Linked DNA regions of Caenorhabditis elegans. The protein of the gene in region 2 interacts with the protein of the main gene of each other region in a pairwise test. Each region holds a gene or a part of one and is shown on either strand. Other genes may lie near its edges. The genes, in order: nepr-1 and cpl-1.

Region 1 (5,901 bases), on a different chromosome or scaffold from region 2:
TCACAAGTTTAGTGTTTTTCCTGCTTTTTTTCGCCTCTTGTTCTTCTTTTTTTCTCCCCCACTTCATCTCCGTTTTAGTCGTCCTTTCTCTTTGTGAGCCAGCGTGCACAACAAAAAATATGAAAAAGAAAGAAAAAAACAAGAGAAAGCTTGTTTGTACTGATGAATTCTGAAATTTTATTTTTTCGTTATCGCCACCGCTAGGTGAGTGCAGGACGCAAAAATCATCGTATTTCATAGAGAAATTTAAAAAGAAAAAAGTGGCAATAAAAGTTTTACGACTTCTCCGTTTTCTTTTGCTGATATAGAAAATGTTGCCATTATGCAGAGTATTTTAAGGAAAAAAAATCGGAAACAACATAATTTTTTCAGGGAACTCGTTGTCGACACGTCGAGGAGTTTTTGAGAAAGGAAAAGCCTCACAAGCATCTTGTAACTGTTATCAATAAGGTCGATCTTGTTCCAACTTGGGTTACGGTGAGTTCATTTCACAATTAGGAAAAAGTTCCGAAAAAATTTTAAGCGAATTTTTTTTTCGAAATTTAAAAAGTATTTGCGCCAAAAATATGGGCTATTTTTCGAAATATCGGAAAAACAAAAAATCATGTTTTTGAAGTAAACGACAGACTAGCAGATTTTTTGCTCACTTTTGTTCGAAGAAAACTTTTAAAAAAAGAAACATCTTTAACCGCAACCATAACTAATTTAATTTCAGAGAAAATGGATCGGAGAATTGTCAAAAGAAATGCCTACAATTGCCTTCCATGCTTCAATCAATAACTCATTTGGAAAAGGAGCAGTTATCAATCTTCTTCGTCAATTTGCAAAACTTCATCCAGACCGTCCACAGATCAGTGTCGGTTTTATCGGATATCCGAATGTCGGAAAATCGTCACTTGTGAATACACTCCGCAAGAAAAAAGTGTGCAAAACAGCTCCGATTGCTGGAGAAACCAAAGTTTGGCAATATGTCATGTTGATGCGTAGAATCTATTTGATTGACTCTCCAGGAGTTGTCTATCCACAAGGAGATTCAGAGACACAGATTATTCTGAAAGGAGTTGTTCGTGTCGAAAATGTCAAGGATCCGGAGAATCATGTTCAAGGAGTCTTAGATCGATGCAAACCGGAACATCTTCGCCGTCAATACGGTATTCCAGAATTCACAGATGTTGACGATTTTCTCACGAAGATTGCTATCAAACAAGGACGTTTGTTGAAAGGAGGAGATCCTGATATTGTTGCAGTTTCTAAAGTTGTGCTCAATGAGTTCCAGAGAGGAAAGCTTCCATACTTTGTACCTCCGCCAGGATGTGAAGAGCGAGCTAAAAAGGACTTTTCTCAAGCACCAATCAATGAAATGTGCGCTGATGACGATGAGCAATTGCCTTTGGATGCTCAACTCGAGCTTGATGATGTGGCAAGAGTGAGTTTTTTTTTAAATAACTGTGAAGCTTGAATAAGTATATTACTTCAAAAATCCTAAATTCAGATATGCCATAATAGAAAATCAGAAAAAAATCGAGGAAGACTGAAAACTCCAAGTAAAAACTCGAATTTTCAAAACTCGCTAAATTACCTGTTTGAATTCCCTCCTGCAAGAAATTCGAACTGGAAATTTAGCCAAAAAAAAGTGTTTTTCAAGTTGTATTCCCCGATTTTTCGTTTTTCTTTTCTGATATTTCTGAAATTAAGACAATTTTAAATTTTTTGAAGCAAAAATCCACCTGTAATACCAAAGTACAATATTTTTTTTCAGAATGGAGGTCCAGATGAGGATGATGACGAAGCAATTGACGATGAAGAACAGGAAGAACTGACAGAAATTGGATCAACCTGTTCTGGACTCACAGATCTTTCTGGAATCAGTGATTTGGCTGGAGACTTGTCAGATGCTGATGATGTGGCCGATGATGATGAAAAGCCATCGTCCAGTGATTCTAAGACAAAGAAATCAAAGACTGATGTGGCGAGCGTACGAACACGTGGAAAGCGTGGAGGAAAGAAGGCGAATAAGGCTAAATTATCCGGAAAGACTATCGTTCAGGCCGCGTCGGAAAAGAAGGACAAGGTAACAATAATTGTTTGATGCATTAATTTCAAAGTTTTTCAATGGTAAAATATTAAATTTTCAAATTCTAGAGCGTCGTCGAATTCGCGAAACCAGGAGCCACAAAGACTAACATGTGGAGAAAGAAGTTGGAGAAAAGACGAAAGGTCAAGCATCAGAAATAGATGACTTCATTGTTTTTTTTTGTTAATCCCTTTTATTGTTAAAGTTTTTTTTTTCTGTTTTAATTTTTCGTTTCATTTTATCATTATTGTTGACTACTGTTTCCCGTTCTGTAAACCATTTTCTGATAACTTGTTCAAAATACGTTCACCACTTCAATGAAGAAATTTTGTTGTCAATTTTTATGGATTTTTTTTTGAATAATTTTCTGGTTTGATCTCCTATTTTGATATTTCTAACACTTTATTGGGTTTTTACAAGACTAACATACTCTTTAGATATTTTAAAAGAACATTGAACGGTGGTTTTGAATATTTGAAACTAGTTCTGATTTTTTGAAAAACGCGTTATGAAAAAATTCCCAAAAATTTATTACTTGGACTTCTCAGAAAATGTCTATGACTTTCAAAAACTACCCGTTCCTAAAAATATTTTTAGTTCTGTGGGAATACATATATATTATTTCAGAAAATCGAGAGAATACTGATTGAGAAGTCGAATTAAAGCCGAACGTTTTTCTGTCCGTATTTAGTTACATCACTAAACAGCACCAGAGATGGCGATTCAGGCCAGAAGAATGCCCGAGGATCCATCGACGGCATGCGAAGGTTAGGAAGAATTTATGTATTTTAGAATTGGAATTGTTGTGAATTTTCAAAGTATTGATTTTAATTTTTCCAGATCTGAAATTCTTTGAAAAACGGCTAACAGAAGTGATCACATATATGGGACCAACATGTACTCGATGGAGAAGTAAGTTGTCTAGCCAATGGAACATGCCTATTTTATGCCTATTTTCACAGTTTCAGTCGCAATCGTCATCTTTGCGGTTCTTGTCGGCGTCATCGGTTCGAAATATTTTGCCAATGAGGTAAGTGTTTAGATAAATCTTGTAAAACTCAAAAACATGAATATTCTAGTTACAGAAAATTGAAATCTTCCAAATTCCGATGATCGACATGTTTCTCACCACTCATCTCGATTTTACTCTCTGCTTTTTCGTCGGTCTTCTCTTGTTTGCCGTGTTTGGTGTTCACAGGAGAATTGTTGCACCCACGATGTGAGTTTAAAGATTTTAGAAGTTTTCTCGGCAAAATTTTGTTTTGAATTTATATTAAAATCGTAGGTTTTTATCTCGAAAAAAGCTAGGCTTATGGCGGAGAAACATTCAGAAAATATATTTATAATTAATATATTGTTGGAAAAGCTATAAAAGACTTCTTTACCAATTTTCAAGCATGTTTCGTCTTTTGAAATTATTTTTAGGTTGTAATGTTGAATATGATTTTTTTTCGCTCGATTATTAATTTAATTGCAACAATTTCGGAATAAAAATCATTAAAAAGCACCGGAGAACATAACGAAAATTTCTTGAAAATTCCCTGAAAATTTCTGAAATTGGTGAATCTAATTGAAAACGCCTAAATTGACGTTTTACCGCCAAATTCCTAATGAGACCCATAGTTTGGGGGCGGAGCTTTTTCACGTCGATTTCGGAAAGTAGCGTCCCCATAGTACAAAACTCAAGTATTTTAAAATTTCTTTTCCGAATTTATCTGCTCACAAAACCGCTCAGACATTACCTTTCCAATAAAAATACAAATGCAATACTTTCAGTGTTGCTCGCCGATGTCGTGATGCTCTGTCTCCATTCAGTCTGAGTTGTGATCATAACGGGAAACTCATTGTGAAGCCAGCAGTTCGTAATTCTGCTCCATAATACTATCGAGGTGTACACCCAAGATTCTCTTTCATTAAAAAATAATTGATCTTGGTGAGGTTTTCCTCCCGTAGTTTGATTATTTTTGCCACCGTTTCCTACTTTTCTCTTGTTCCGACTTATATGTGTAAAATATGGTGATTCAAATTGTATTTATTTTTCCTATTTCCCCGCCCATTCATGGAGTCGTGTTTTTTGTTTGAATTTCGTGACTCGAATAGCTCAAAAAATTCAACTTTTCTTAGAAACAGCCGAATTTACAACGGTGCTATTGTATTCATTCATGTTTCTGGAGATCTAAGTAATATTGTTTTTTATCAGTAAATTTTTATAAAAACTCGTTGTCTTTTTGGGGAGATTAGCACGAAACACTGATTTTTTTCAAATTATAGGACCTAGGTCCTATAAGTTTGCTATAAGTTCAAATTTTGTATGTATGTTCAATTATTCCGGTACCCCCAAAGGTTCACTATTTCAGACTGTTCTTTGGAAAGTTATTCGGTTTGAAGAGTACGATGGAAAAACATGTTTCGATGAACTTGCGAATAGTAAACTGATGAGTGATTCTGACGAAAAATAAATGAATTATATAGGGAACAAGTAATATTCTTCCATAATTCCAAATGATTGTTCTCTGAAAATGTTGAGAATTGAGGTTGAAAATTTGCAGTCTCTAACCAAAAAATTAGCATAAACCGTTTGAATTCTGGCAAAAACACGAATGGATTGTGCCAGAACAATGTGAAGAAATCGATGGATATTACTAATCAACACACATAATTTATTTACGATTGGTTCATTAAAAACAGCTGTTAGAATTTCAAAAAAACACCGTTCACACATAATATGTCAAGATTGGACCGCCCCTATCTTGGCTGTATGATTTTTTTCAGTTTTTCAAAACGTATTTCATTGTAATTCAAAGTATATATATATATATATACATACTTACTATTTGAGTAAATATTTAAAATATTACTGTATTCAAACAAATGCATTTACTTCAACTTGTTTCTTTTAAAATTTACATTTTCATATACATTGTTCCATGTTTTAATGATTTCAAAACTGTATTTCCACATTCAAAAACTGCGAACTGTGCTCCTATTTCTCTAAGGGTTTATGTAAATAATGTCCTCAAAAGTTTAACCATTTGAACCAGACTCCCTTTTGTCCGCCCTCTATGACATATATTTCCTATTTAATTGAACTTTCAGCCACATTTCAATTGTCGTTTTGTAACCATGATTGTTGGAATTTTGGCATGTCTCACGGCCACTTTTACTCTCGGATCTGTTTTTGCACCTATCAAGAGATTTCCATCAAGTGATGGTGAGTTTTTTACGTTTCTAAAATCCTTTTGGCATTTTATTTCGCACAAAATGATAGTAGGCATGCATTAAGACGGATAAGTCTTATCCTTTATTCTGGAAAATTTGAAGACAAGTTCGAGAACCTGCAATATTTAGAAAAAATTAATTGAAGCAACTTCAAAACATAAAAATAAATGGAAAATTTTTTAAGCCACAAATTTTTAAAAAGTTGGTATTTAATGATTATAACACAATAGGAGGGGGTGGAAAACTGTTCCCCCATATATAACTTTCTGTAGAGACTGCATGGGTGCATACTATAGTATTGAGATTCTAGGGTTGTGCTGACAGTGTTTCATCACAAAGAGATTTTCAGGTTTCATGGTTCAATTCTTCATGAGTCTTGGTGGATTCATCACAAGTCTTGCAATCCATGCTTTACTTGGTTTTCCCCCAATTTATCCATTGGCTATGCTTGGAGGAGCTCTGTGGTGTGCAGGTAATCACTTCAATTTTAAAAAGTGAAGAAATAATATTTTAGCAAACGCCTTTGCATTTCTCATAATGAACCGTCTTGGATTAGCAGTTCCAATTCTTATTTGGAGTACTGTATCCTGTTTAACAGGATGGGCAAC
Region 2 (7,500 bases):
CTGAAAGTGCTCCAGTGCATTTTTTTGCTGAATTCTAGGTCAAGTAAATGGCCTTAAAAGTGGCTATGAGCGGTTAAAAATTGTTTTTGGGGGTCTTTAGGGTCAAACAAAGGATGTGGAAGCTTTTTGGAAATTTTTATTTTTTTGCAAAAAATCTGAAATTTTTGCGGTCCAATGGAAGCCAAATTTTTGGTCAAAAAAATTTTTTTTTTGAAAAATTTTCAAAACTATTTTTTTGTATCGGGGCATATAAAAAGGTACAAATTTCTTCCAATTGAGCCCTTTGCACCGAATATGAGGTGGTTTTTAAGCTTAAAAATTGCTTCAAATATGTAATGGATGTACCTTTGAAAACGTTTTTCTTTCACAAAAAGGTCCGAAGCCATATTCAAACCTTCAAAAAGCATCGGTGCAACATATTACATTACCCAAACACAAGCCATGCTCCTACTTTCGGTCAAATATATGGGACTGGAAATTTTGAGTTCGAAAGTTTTAAATCCCAAAAAAAATTTTTTTGAGATTATTCAATTAAATGGTTCCTTGGTTCACATGCAATTAATTTTTACTAAATAAAATGTTTAAAAGTTAGCTATAAAAATTCAGGGCGCGATTGCAATTTTTAAAAATTAAAAAAAAAATTGCCACTGAAAGAATCGAACACGAGACCTTTATTCCGTTTTACCAAGCATTTACCATTTGGCCATCAATCCCTGATTTTTATTGTTTTCAATGTTTTGAACCATTTTATAAATATTGAAGATGATTTTTGTATATGTAAAATGAATAAATACGAAATAGTATTGAAAACTAGGAGGGCGCAGAGAAAAATTTTCAGATGGCGCTTTCAGGGGTTCAGAGTTGAGTTCCGCCGCTAAAATTTTTGTGGTGATCTAGGCTAACCATAAGCTTTCAAATGACATGCGTCTCAATTTAAAGTCCGATACTAGATTGACTTCCTTTCCTTGTCAGGATCGATTTTTGTTTTACGACACATTGCTATTATCTCTGCCAACAACACATCGTTTAACTAGGTTTACGAGTCTTTTTGAATATATGTAGATGGATATTGTTTTGGTTAGAAAACCTGTACTGAATGTTACTGATATAATTTTTCTTGAGGCCAGAAATTTCATTTTTGCCTTCGAAATAAAAACTGGAAGTTTAAGTATTTCTATTTAAATATGTCCAAATTAAAAAAAAGTTATTTGCATCTAAAAATTTACTGAAACTTTACACTTTTCTCCCGAAAAAAACTTCAATATTCAGTTCTAAATTTCTGAAAATTAAAATTTATTTTCTGAAAACGTCTGAAATTTCAAACTTTTCATATAAAAATGACAAAAATTTTAGAGATTCCTGTGCAAGAATGTCTGAAGTTTCAAAGGTACTTATTAAAAATTCTTCAAAATCTGAATTTCCATATTGAAATTGGCGGCATTTTTATTTCTTCCATGTTTAGAATTGTATGAACTTATGAAATTCTATTGAAAAATACGTAACGATTTTCCTTTCCCGTCTGAAATTTAAATTTTTATGTGAACACGTCTCAAAATCTGAATTTCTTATGGGAAAATATCTGAAGTTTCAATTTTTTTTTATTTGAAAATAAATTAAATTCATTTTTTTACGATTTTTTAGGTGCTGAAACTTTGAATTTTGTATCGAAAAATGTCTGAAAGTGAGAACTTCCAATTATAATTTTTCTTACATTTTTCTTGTTAGTTAGTTGAATTTTGAGTTTTTAAATTACTGAATTTCGAAATTCACGTGCTGAAAGTTATAAAAAACTTCATACGAGTTACAGCATTTTTTGAGATTTTGAAATTTCCAAATTTCGAAATCTCTTTTTTTCCCTATTTCCCCAAGATTAAACAATTGTCGATTTCAAAAAATTGCTTAGAACATCTCAAGTCTGCCATTCCCCACTCCAAAAAAAAAACAGGTTCCCATTATCATTCCTTATTCCCGTAGATTATCTCACCGTCTTCACCAGGTATCTTATCAATAGCTGGATGATTATGTAATTTCTTGCTGATGACATTTATTTTCTCGTTTTTCATTCCTAAGTTTTTTGTTTGGAAATCCTTTAGAATGCGAAACAATTTATTTACATTGTTGGCCACCTGTTAAAGTGACCTAATTGTTTGTTTGTTTTCTGTCCTTTTTCCCCCTGTTTTTTCAAAGTTAATTTTAAAAAACTTGACTCACTTTGTAGTTTGACCTTTGCTAAAAAAGCAGCCGACATCAGTCAAGGACCACTTATAAAATTTTGAGACATTGCTTTTTGGGGCCCAAAATCGTTAAAAACTACCGAATTTCGTAATGAAAAGTTTTGAAAATTTCTGGAAAAAAAACCGAAAAAAAAGTTCATACTTCAAAAAGAGCAAAATTTGATGGAAGTTTCTGTTCCTAACGTCAATAAAACAGTAGAAATTGACACAAATTGCTGGAATTTTGCGGTTAAACTCCAATAATTGACACTTTTAAAAGGCGAACAATTTTCTCGGTTTTGGAAACATTTCTAGCAAAACTGGTAGTTTTCTAAACTTTGGGGGCACTACAAACTACAAAAACCTTAATTTTCTGTATGTTCAATACTTCAAGAAGTTCGGAAACTTCCGCTCGAAAACTTCCGTTTTTCGAAACACTTATCCCTGATCACATGCTTATCTGACTTAACCCTATTATGATAATCATCCAATTTCTGTACTATTCTGAGCTCCTAGCACCGGAGCAAGCACTTTCACCCCTAATTTCCCTCTATTATCAGTTGACTGATAACCTGATGGTTTGATCGCTCTCTGTTTCTCTCCGCCTCTCCATCTCTCTCCTCACACTCGTCCTGGCACTGATTGACGCTGTCCCCGCCTACTTTAGGATCCTTCATAAACTCGCCTCGGGAGGTGTTCATTGTAGTTCCTATTCCATTTCCATATTTTTTCGTGTTTCCCCTGCTTTTTGTAGAATTTTCAAATTAATTTTAAATGTTATAAAATTCCAGAATGAACCGATTCATTCTTCTGGCACTGGTTGCCGCCGTCGTCGCCGTCAATTCGGCCAAGCTGTCCCGTCAAATCGAGTCGGCCATCGAGAAATGGGACGACTATAAGGAGGACTTTGATAAGGAGTACTCGGAGAGCGAGGAGCAGACCTATATGGAGGCATTTGTCAAGAATATGATCCATATTGAGAATCACAACAGAGATCACCGACTCGGAAGAAAGACATTCGAGATGGGATTGAATCATATTGCTGACTTGGTAAGAATATGCATTTCAATGCACCATGAGCTGCGGCGTCCGACGTTTTGAGCTCCGGGGACTCAAATTCTGGCTCCGAGGACCGAAGTCTCTAGCTCCAGGGTCCCAAGTTTTGAGCTGCGGGGTTTCAAAATTCAAGCTCCGGTTCTTAAGTAACGAGCTCCGGGATCACAATTTTTGAGCCCAAGGATCTCAAGTTTGGAGCTCCGGAGTCCCAAGTTCCTAAAGCGAGGATTTTCAAGTTTTCCTTTTTTGCATTTCCTAATTTCGACAGATAAGAAAATAAATACCCCCTATAAAAACTTCAAAAAGCTGTTCTCTGTCTCGTTCCACTATCAAAATCTCACCCAGCGAGAAAAAAAAAGATAAAGATATGAAATCCTCGTCTCGTGACTGACCAACAGCTGGCTTATCACACCACCACACTGACAAAACACACGAAGGTCATTTGATTTTCAAACTCTTGTTTTTTTCAGCCATTCAGCCAATACCGCAAACTCAACGGTTACAGACGTCTCTTCGGTGACTCCAGAATCAAGAACTCCTCCTCTTTCTTGGCTCCATTCAATGTTCAGGTAATTTTTTGAGAGGGGTTTTGTTGGGGTCCAGACACTAACTTTCTCGTCGATCAAAACTATAAAACTATTTGCATAAACAAAAACGTTTTCAACGACCGATAAAAATAATTCTTCGCTGACCGTATTTTTTGAATTATCATCTCTGATGATTGATACGCTTGAAAATTGAATTTCGCAATGTTTTGGTCACCGAAATGTTTAAAAACAAGATTCAAATGGTTAGAACTGTTTTTGCTGAAATTTGAACACCAGAGCTTAGAGCTGTGATGAACTTCTAGGGGATAAGCCTAAGCCTGAGCTTCAGTCTAAGCCTAAATCTAAGCCTACGTCTAAGTGTACGCCTAAGCTTAAGCCTCAGCCTAAGCCTCAGCCTAAGCCTAAGCCTAGGCTTGAAACTGATTGTGAGTTGATGGATTTGGCTCAGTCCAGGAAGAAGTTTGGTCTATGCCTAAGCCTTAGCATAAGCTTGAGCTTCCCAAGCTTTCGGCTAAACCAAACCCTCAGCTTAAACTCAAGCCTAAACCTATTCAATTTTCAGGTCCCAGATGAGGTTGACTGGCGTGATACCCACCTCGTCACTGATGTCAAGAACCAAGGAATGTGCGGATCGTGCTGGGCCTTCTCCGCCACCGGAGCCCTCGAAGGACAACACGCTCGCAAGCTGGGACAACTCGTCTCCCTTTCCGAGCAAAACCTCGTCGACTGCTCTACCAAGTACGGAAACCACGGATGCAACGGAGGACTCATGGATCAAGCTTTCGAGTACATTCGTGACAACCATGGTGTCGACACCGAGGAGTCATACCCATACAAGGGACGTGACATGAAGTGTCACTTCAACAAGAAGACCGTCGGAGCTGATGATAAGGGATACGTTGACACCCCAGAAGGAGATGAGGAGCAACTTAAGATCGCTGTCGCCACCCAAGGACCAATCTCTATTGCTATCGACGCCGGACACCGCAGCTTCCAACTTTACAAGAAGGGTATGTTTTGTGGGAAGATGTGAGGGGGGGGGGGGTACTAGTTTTTATTGACGGGTCAGTTTTATTTGCATTTTGGATGATAATGATAAGAAAGCTAGTTACTCGGGTTTTTCATCAGAGACAGAGAGGGCAATAGTGATAAGAGAACTCGTGTTTTTGAATGATACCCTCTTGACAATAATAGTTTGGGTTCGAACTTGAATGTGAAAGTGGTGAAGGAATTTATAAATTGTTTAGTAGCAAAGTATAACCCCATCAGCCTAGGCCAAAGTCTAAGCTTAAGCTTACGATTAAGCCTAAGCCTAAGCCTAAGCTTACGCCTAAGCCTAAGCCTACGCCTAAGACTAAGCCTAAACCTAAGCGAAAGCCTAAGCCTAAGCCTGAGCCTAAGCTTAAGCCTAAGCCTGAGTCTAAGCCGTAGCTCAAGACTAAGCCTGAGTCTAATCCCAAGCCTAGCTCATAAGCCTAAGCTTAAACAAATGCCTAAACCAAAGCCTAAGCCTAGGCCTAAAACTAGGCCTACAGCATAAACTCAGCCTAAGTTCCACCGAATATCATCCATTTTCAGGAGTCTACTACGATGAGGAATGCTCATCCGAAGAGCTCGACCACGGAGTGCTTCTCGTCGGATACGGAACCGACCCAGAGCACGGAGACTACTGGATTGTCAAGAACTCGTGGGGAGCTGGATGGGGAGAGAAGGGATACATCCGTATCGCCCGTAACCGCAACAATCACTGCGGAGTCGCCACCAAGGCCAGTTATCCATTGGTCTAAATTTGAACTTAATAATTAATTTTTTTTTTTGGAAAATTTAATTGTAGCCCCGAATTGCAATTCTTTGACTCTTTTCTGTCAAGCTTTACCTCGTTTTCTGTATTTTTTTGGAATTTCTCTAATATCTATAATTATGTATTTCAAATTGTGGTGTACATAAACGATTTTTGAATTTAGTTTTGCATTTTTCTGTCTTAAAAACAAGTGAGGAAATAGTAAGAGCATATAATTAGCTCGTAACAAATTTGAATTATAGTTTTCGTTTTCGCTTTTAATTCAGACACCAAGTTGTGACGTCCTTTTTAGCGTGTCTACGCCCCTGCCTGCTTGCCTAGTCAATCAAAGTCCCCCACGAAAAATTAAATAAACATTGCAAAGCAGCGGTTGTCGATTGTTAACCCTCTCTCATTACAAACATTTGCCGCCGCTGTACACCGCGGTTCCATGGTGTAGCGGTTAGCACTCAGGACTCTGAATCCTGCGACCCGAGTTCAAATCTCGGTGGGACCTATGCTCTTTTTTCGCAGTTTCTAACCTCAGAAAGTAGACTGATGTTCTTTCCCAAGGGGTTCAATTTGCACGTATTTTTCAATAATTATCCACCTCTTTACTTTTTCCCCTCGAATTCATTCTATGCGTGTTATTCATCGAGCTATAAGTTTCCCTGCCTCTCAAATATTTTGTTTTAAACTTTTAATCTCAACATGGACACCCCAAATTTTTTGTCTACTTCATTACATATAATGTCCTGCGTAGAGGTCCCCGTGCACATTTTTGGAGCATATTGTATTCTGTGTAAAACTCCGATTACTATGAAATCAGTCAAGTGGTCAATGTTAAACTTACACTTTTGGAGTGTTTTTCTTGACTTGACAATTAGTATATTGGTGATTCCATATATATTGTTCCCAGCAGTAGTTGGTAGATCCTTAGGATTATTGGAATTTGTTAAAGTTCCTCAAAAACTCCAGCTTTATCTCATCGTATCCCTGTTTCCAAGTGAGTTGTGCTCTTTGTGCTCATTCAACCGGAACACTGCTTGTTTCAGCGGTCGGAGTTTCGATCACTACACTTCTCGAAAATCGGTACTATCTGATGTTTGCACGCTTCCGGAGATGGAAATATTTTCGGACTCCGTTCCTTACCAGTTTATATCTGGCGTCAGCGTTCTGCTTTCTACCTTCTTATTTAATGATTCCTGAGCAAGAGGCAGCGCTCGCGGAAGTTTTAGAGGTAAGTGACTATAAAATAATGACAAAGGAAATTGAAAGTGCATGATATAAAGATTTAAAATTAGGCCTAATGAATCCGCGCTGAAACAATGAAATTTGAGTGTTAAACTGAAAAATTCCATCAAGTGCATTTGTGTCATTTTTGTCCATTATTCTCCAATCCAAATAGGGACTAAAAAATGTATTTCTGCACCTTTTTTCAATCTTTGCACCCTGAAAAATGACACATCTTACTCGTAAATTGTTCAATCGGAAATAGTTTTTCCGCTTCACAGATGATGTTTTGATTTGCAAATTCAATCTTTGATTATGAAAACTTGAAAATGTTCCTTTCTTTCATACTAAATATATAATGTTAGGCAGGGGTGGGAAGCAATTGCCGGCCGACAAATTCGGCAAATCTGCAAATTGCCGGTTTGCCCATTTGCCGGAAATTTTCATTTCCGGCAAAATGCTGGTTTGCCGTTCGCAGGAAAACGGCAAAACGCCGGTTTGCCGAGTTGCCGAAAATCGGCAAACCGGCAATTTGCCAATTTGCCGGAAATTTTTATTTTCGACAAATTGCCGGTTTGCCGATTTGCCGTTCGCCGGATATCAATTTGCCGGAAGTGATTAGATGGATTTTTTATAACACGGGAATACTAAAAACTGTGCCTTTCGGATT

Evidence for each region.
Region 1: the proteins of cpl-1 (region 2) and nepr-1 interact in a two-hybrid assay, tested with the Caenorhabditis elegans proteins (one large-scale study listed by BioGRID).

Annotation. Positions count from the first base shown.
Region 1 is NC_003279.8:8,396,217-8,402,117, forward strand, and holds nepr-1 (Transmembrane protein 188), read left to right. Parts: upstream 1-2,701; 5' UTR 2,702-2,789; coding exon 2,790-2,841; intron 2,842-2,914; coding exon 2,915-2,986; intron 2,987-3,042; coding exon 3,043-3,104; intron 3,105-3,153; coding exon 3,154-3,293; intron 3,294-3,850; coding exon 3,851-3,953; 3' UTR 3,954-4,289; downstream 4,290-5,901. Other genes in the region: ngp-1 (Nucleolar GTP-binding protein 2), read left to right, coding at 373-477, 716-1,426, 1,760-2,071, 2,143-2,235; T19A6.4 (Transmembrane protein 144), read left to right, coding at 5,198-5,285, 5,643-5,765, 5,808-5,901.
Region 2 is NC_003283.11:16,590,851-16,598,350, reverse strand, and holds cpl-1 (Cathepsin L-like), read left to right. Parts: upstream 1-3,004; 5' UTR 3,005-3,005; coding exon 3,006-3,263; intron 3,264-3,739; coding exon 3,740-3,838; intron 3,839-4,379; coding exon 4,380-4,827; intron 4,828-5,395; coding exon 5,396-5,604; 3' UTR 5,605-5,779; downstream 5,780-7,500. Other genes in the region: srh-269 (Serpentine Receptor, class H), read left to right, coding at 6,309-6,603, 6,653-6,837. UniProt on the Caenorhabditis elegans protein: Cysteine protease which plays an essential role in the degradation of proteins in lysosomes.